2 linked regions of the Daphnia pulex genome follow. The protein of the gene in region 2 purifies or fractionates together with the protein of the main gene of each other region. This does not show direct contact. Links are inferred from orthologs where the notes say so. Each region holds a gene or a part of one and is shown on either strand. Other genes may lie near its edges. The genes, in order: cytoplasmic FMR1-interacting protein-like and probable protein BRICK1-B.

Region 1 (4,029 bases), on a different chromosome or scaffold from region 2:
ATCCATCAGCGATCAACTGCATGATTCCCATCATGGACAACATCGTTATTACTGGTTGTGATGATGGGAAAATCCGTGCCATTAGTCTATTCCCACATAGGTTCTTGGGGGTAGTAGGTCACCACAAATTTCCTATTGAGCGTTTAGACATTTCAACGTGTGGTCACTACATAGCATCTACATCCCACGACGGACGCGTGCGGTTTTGGAATATTTCCTACTTTGAGGATCCCAATTTAAAGTTGATGGAGTCGACCACGAAGAAATCTGTCCGCAACAAAAAACGTTCGTTACGCAAAGAGAAATTAGGATTTCAGCTACCGTCTTCTAAGAGACGGAACAAAGGAGATTTTTTCGCGGGACTTGCCGAACCTGAGCCTGGACCTGCCGAAGCTGCCGAACCTGAAGCCGAATCTGATTCTGATGCAGCATCTGATTCTGACGCTGAATCTGCTTCTGAAGCAGAGTCGGAAGTAAGTTCAGACAATGATGAATAACCTACATTTTAACATCTTTACGTGAATGGTGTATTCAAGAAGTCGGGACTAATACAATCGCAACGGGCAACGTCTAACTGATCTAAGGCATATAGAAATTATGGTGAAAACATCGTTGCAATGAAGGTTTCTTTAAAGGATGTAAAGTGATTGGGAAATGATTTCATAATATTTCGTAACCTGAATGAAATTAGATAAGACAAAACAAGTAATGTATAGACGAATTAAAATGCTCAGTGCTGTTCTAGCGTCAAGTTTGCAATTATCCCAGAAGTGTTGGCTACATTCATGGACTGACGAAGTAGTTGGTCAGGTCGATAATAATGACCCTGATTCACTGCAAGAGAGTGATGTATGGGAGGCTGAAAACAACGCACATGCTCCACCGGTTGAGAATCTACATCACCCGAGCTCGTTTTTAAATATTTGTTTAGCGTAGCGAAGACTTGTGAATTCAAGACTTGAAAGCGGCGAATTCGATCAACCAATCGCTTTAGTTGAATACCCTTCACAGTTTCGTCTTTGTTATCGACGCGTTGTACGCGCAAAATATGATAACAGAAATCCAGTGCCTCGAATCTAACGACAGAACGGAAAATCAATTAGGCAGCCCTGTTTTAAAAATTATTTTTGAAAAAGTAAGATCAAAACCTTCGTTGTTGTCCAAGCAAGGCAATCATAGTGCATCCAGCCCAGTGAAGTCCTTCGCCGAAAAGCTGTTCAACGGTAAATTCGTTTTCGCCAACAGGAATGCAATACACAAACTGCAAAGCTGACCATAGTCGGTGAAATTCTGTACACTCGTCGACCGTTAGGACGCCATTGACAGGAACAGGACCCGTCCAAATTGGATCGTCTAAAAAGGTGCGGATGCGATTGAGCACCATTTCGAAGACAGAAAGACCACAGCAAAGACGTTCTCTGGTTAAAAGATCTCCCTCCCGTGCAATCAAGGTTTGCTTGGCGGTGCCCAGCTTTTCTATGTTGGCGACAATTTGCAATGCCGCATACTTGTTCTCCAGTTTTTTCTGCTTGGCTTCCAATTTTTCGCCCTCTTTAACGAACGGTCTGTACGTTTCAATCAAAACCATTAAACGAAAGGAATCGTTAGGGGGAGCTAAAGCTACTATAAATGATGGAAAGGAAAAATAATACATACCTTGGAAGAATATTTTGAAAAGGCGCTGCCTGAAGTAGATCGCAAACTTCCTCCTGTGACATTGCTTGTTCAATCAGAAGACAAAATATCAGCGCGTTCCCGAATTCTCGGAAATTATGAAATAATTCCGTCCTCGCATCAGGGTATTGAACAATGTCATTCAGTTGGGCCTGTAAAGATAAGAAAAAATACATAATTAATAATTGTTTCTCGGTTAGGAGAAGCTATTTAAATTCTACCTGATAATATCCTAAGACACCAGTTGATCCGTAATCGTAACGAGGCATTTTGCACTGTTTTGGCATCGCCTGCATTAGGGTTTTGGTGAATTGTAAAATGTTTCCCTGTACTAACGATTTGATTATCTTGAGGATCTCTTCCATGACTACGGCGATGCCCTGGTAACCCAGAAGATTTGAAATAGCCTTAAAATGTGGTGCACCCACAAATCCGGAATATTGATTGAAGATGTTTCCATTCGCGATGTTGAGCGCCTTACTGCCCCAAAGATAATGGTAAGGCGTTTGAGGTGGTTTATCTCGGTGAACAGGCTGACTGAAAAGTAGGTCTCGGCACTTGATGAAGCGCCCTGTTGCGGCATTATAGCAATAAGTGGGTAAGAAATCGTAGTTGAGTTCCCAGAAGACGTGTAGCGTCACTCGGCCATAGGGTGCCAGAACGTTATGATTGGCTTCTCTCCACATAGCGTCGAAATCATCCATCGCAAGGTTACTGCTCAACAATTTGTGAGTTAATCGGTTCACGTCTAGGAGACCGCTTAATTCCTGTCATTGAGACTGTGTTACATCCAATTGGACAAAGTTGCTCATTTTAATTACTTACTACTACACCGGTGATATCTCCACCTTCAAAACGTGCAACCGATAGCTCGAGTGCCTTAAGAAGTGCAGCGTTAACTCTTTGAGATATTAATCGATTTAAATCAATTGAACGTCCCAACAACTGAACGTGGCGTTGTTTCATCAGAGTTTCGTAACGATTGGCAGGAGGGTAGGTAAAGCGCGTACCTAATGCGGCACACTCAGCACGAAATCGTTTGTCCAGCATGATGCTAAGGATGTTAGGACGCACGTTATTAACGAAAAGTTAGCAATGTTTAGCAATCAATGTGCAATGCTTACCTGCCAGCAAGGTGTTTGTAGTAGGCGAAAATTTGTTCGCTCAGCTTATAGACGAACTGATCGAAACACAGATTGACTTCAGCTTCAACTTCGTCGTACAAAAACTGTTTGCGGAAAACGGTCAGCGCATAATGAGCCGAATCGTTATAGAGATCAAGGGGGAAAAGTACGCACCTGGTAAACACAAATCAAACATCAAACTTTAAATTTAACAGAAAAATCGCATTTAGAGTTTGAACTCACTCCATCATAGAAGGCTCCTTCGTACGCAAAATATGATCAGTCAGGATCCAGGGCATCGACATGTCGATAGGAAACTAAAAAGAAAGAGACGAAAAAACATGTAGTAAAATCATGTTGAAATTTTTTTTAATTTAACTACAAGACTACAAATTTAACTGTTAAATAACAAGCGATTTTGCGTACATGCAGGCCATGCTGGGACCTTAGTTTAATTCAAGCATATATCTACTCAAGTCAGAAGCATACGACATCATGCTGAGGAAGTTTCTCAACAAGGTGACAGCTTATACCTGAATCCTTTTCTCCAGTGTGACCACGTCTTTGCACTCCTCGTTGTGTTGATGTTTCACGCAACATTTCTGAATTTTCGACATGACAATGACCGATATTTAAAGCGAAGGAAAGAAAGACGCGACAGAGAAAAAGAATAATAAAATTTAGCACACGCCATACTACTTACAACCTCTTTCAGGTAAAGTAAAGTAGACTGGCAAGTGCTTGCATTGCCATTTTTCCATAAACCAAAGAGCCAAGCCTTTCCCAGCCACCGAATTTCGCACTGACAGAAATCCAGATCAGAAACAGCTTCATATTCTTACCTGAATCCTTTTGCCCATTGTCATCTCAAGATAAAATTCTCGATACCAAAGTTGTGAAAGGTCGCACGATTGTTGCAGTGTTTCTGCGAGAAAAGAAAAACAAATGTTAGGAAAAAGTATGTTCAGTAAAAATCGAAGGTTGAATATAAAATACCGTTGAAATTGAGCAAATAGTTCCAGAAAAAAGAATTTTTATGAAATTGGTCGATTGCCATAAGGTATGATCCATCAATGTCTTTACGTAGCGTTCGCTTTCCACCAGATTTGTCAGCTATTAACGACTCTAGCATAGTGCGAACCATGTAAAGTTGGGTCGAAGAAGGTCCTGTAAAATAAAGGCAGAATGTCCGTAAAGAAGAAGCGTCTTTTGTTTGATTTTTTGACATACC
Region 2 (2,515 bases):
GCGTAGTCGTGAGGGTATCATCACGAACCAAACATTCGTATTGTTGCCAATGATTCCTAGCTAGTAGTTTATACAAAGTAACGGATAATCTGTTTTTATTTTGCTTTTGACGACGACGAAACGTGTGATAACGAGCATCACCTTGAACACGACTCGTAGACCGTGATAAGGAAAACAGCAACCGAATGCTTCCGGTGGCTTCCGACCGCAGAAAGCCCTTCTACCTTATTGCGTCTAAACTTCTTCCCAACTCAGAGACTCGACTCATTTCCTATATAATATGTACGAGAGCGACTGTTGCTATTCGCCCTTTGCATTTCGGCACTCTAGGGGATTCGCGGTTTGTGATCATAAATGCACGTCAATGAGTGAAAACATATCAATATATACAATCCAAATCAACCACACACGATGTAGAATCTAATAATAATCAGAAAAAAGTGAGATAGTACCTTTCACTTGTGAGTCGAGTTCCCACAGAAACTCTTTGTCTTTGCGTGCCATTTTCTTGGCACTCTCTGGCGGGACGACCGTTTGTTGTTGGACAGCAGATGAGACCGGCGCCGAAATGTTGAGGACGATTTTGTTGGCCGACATTTCACACGTAATGAAGAGACTAGCAGCACACACGGCCAAAGATGGAGAGAGATGGGGAAGTCTCTCTGACGCCAACTTCTTACACGGCACAGCAGCACATACAGACGACACACTGGCAGAAGCTTTTTATTCTTTTCTCCTCTCTGATTTTTGTGTGTGGGGGAGTGAGATCAAACGCCCCACCCTGACATCTTGATAGAGAGTCCAACTTTTCGGTTACTTTTTTCTGTCGTGCCAAGAACGCCTCGTCGCTTTTCGAGTCAAACACTATAACGTCAAACGGAGAGATCGAAAAGAGGCGGCAAGTTGAACGAGACGGTTGAAAATCCAAACTAACGCAAGCAAGGCACATTTCACTTTGACTTACCCCTATCGCGTCGTCCCACCTCCACACACAATGCTCCTCCTTCCTTGCCCAGCTGCAGCCGTTCGGGCTCAATGGAGATTTTCAATAACAGGGCTACGCTCGCGTCACCTAGCGGCTGTACTCAGCAACATGCCTTCTGATTACTTTGTGTTTTAATCGTTTTCATAAAATCTAAAGGTGTTGGCCGGATTTTAATACTTGTTTTGAAAATTTTAAATTATTCTCGATTTATTAATTGTATTTTTCATCTGTTTTAATCGTATTTTCAATTTCCGTACGATTGCGATGGTGAAGCGTAGCTAATGGAGCTGATTTGACAGTTCACAACACAAACAAAGTTGGGAAAACATGTCGACGAAACAAACCCTTCAAAAACAAACCCAGCAAGATTGGGCCAACAGAGAATACATTGAAGTCATCACCAGCAGCATTAAAAAGATTACCGATTTTCTCAATTCTTTTGGTAGGACACTACAAACTGACAAATTTTAGTTTCATCGTAAAACCCGTTTCCTTGCACATGCCCACACAGATATGTCTTGCCGAGGACGACTAGCAGTGCTCAACGAAAAAATCACCAGACTAGAAAGAAAAATTGAATACTTGGAAGCCAGAGTAATATTTTTCAATATAAATGTGATCATGATTATTTAATTTACCATTTTCATCATTCGTCCATTGTAGGTAACGAAAGGCGACACCCTGACATGAAGCTTCCCAAAACACAGTACAAATTTGCCTTCCCTTTTACTCTAAGCCCTTTTTTTTACACATATTTGGTCGCATTAGTTGAATAGACAGTGCATCACTTGATGAATTGATTCATTATTACTGTAATGAAAAGACTCTTTAAAGATTCTTTGTATCACTCCTTCTTTGCACTTATTATAGTGTTAGGTTAACTACTACTGTGGAATGCAAAATACTTCTTGATTCTGGGAATGACAAAAATGTGCTACTATCGTGAAATCAAAACAAGTCCAACTTGTTTAGATTTTTTTTCAAAGTCCAAGAAACTGGTTTAATTTTCCACTCCTCTTATCATTAGGAACTACTCAAAATGCTAGTCATACATGGTCAACAAAGTGTTCCCCTTTCTACAAGATTCAAAGATCCCAGATAATTTTTTCACTCACTTCAATAACGAAAGCGAAATTGATGTTGGCCTTTAAAATGTCTCGCATGAATGACGTCTATACCTCAGAAGTGGTCCCTGTCATTTTCTGCGGTGCCCCACCAACGTACTCATTCAACCACAAATAGTTATTATGGAGCACACGATACTTTGGTCAGGAGAGGGAGACCAAAAAACTGGCGAATATCTAAGGCAGCGGAATACGCCGTGTGGTCAAAAAGTTGGAACGACGAAATATCGCCTGAACATGGATTGAGTTGTACTTTTTAACAGGTATCCTGGGAAGTAAACCCGTCGCGTCATTACGCAAGCTTCCAAACAAAGTATAAATCAGCGAAACAAAAGCGTTGGCCGTCAGCCGACTGACCGTGAATCGGCGTTGAAATGTGATTATGAGCGGAACGAGGGAGAAAGCG

The links.
Region 1: the proteins of probable protein BRICK1-B (region 2) and cytoplasmic FMR1-interacting protein-like purify together in Drosophila melanogaster (affinity purification with western blotting; 4 studies listed by BioGRID). This does not show direct contact. The link is inferred for Daphnia pulex from reciprocal best matches to the Drosophila melanogaster genes HSPC300 and Cyfip.

The regions. Positions count from the first base shown.
Region 1 is NC_060025.1:3,992,533-3,996,561, reverse strand, and holds the end of cytoplasmic FMR1-interacting protein-like, read right to left. Parts: coding exon 4,029-4,029; intron 3,966-4,028; coding exon 3,795-3,965; intron 3,724-3,794; coding exon 3,641-3,723; intron 3,401-3,640; coding exon 3,332-3,400; intron 3,116-3,331; coding exon 3,042-3,115; intron 2,973-3,041; coding exon 2,799-2,972; intron 2,729-2,798; coding exon 2,500-2,728; intron 2,442-2,499; coding exon 1,896-2,441; intron 1,827-1,895; coding exon 1,657-1,826; intron 1,566-1,656; coding exon 1,149-1,565; intron 1,077-1,148; coding exon 731-1,076; 3' UTR 514-730; downstream 1-513. Other genes in the region: WD repeat-containing protein 55 homolog, read left to right, coding at 1-497. UniProt on the Drosophila melanogaster protein: Plays a role in guidance and morphology of central and peripheral axons and in synaptic morphology. Also required for formation of cell membrane protrusions and for bristle development.
Region 2 is NC_060018.1:1,420,808-1,423,322, forward strand, and holds probable protein BRICK1-B, read left to right. Parts: upstream 1-1,290; 5' UTR 1,291-1,312; coding exon 1,313-1,427; intron 1,428-1,496; coding exon 1,497-1,579; intron 1,580-1,648; coding exon 1,649-1,675; 3' UTR 1,676-1,777; downstream 1,778-2,515. Other genes in the region: SLIT-ROBO Rho GTPase-activating protein 1-like, read right to left, coding at 453-597.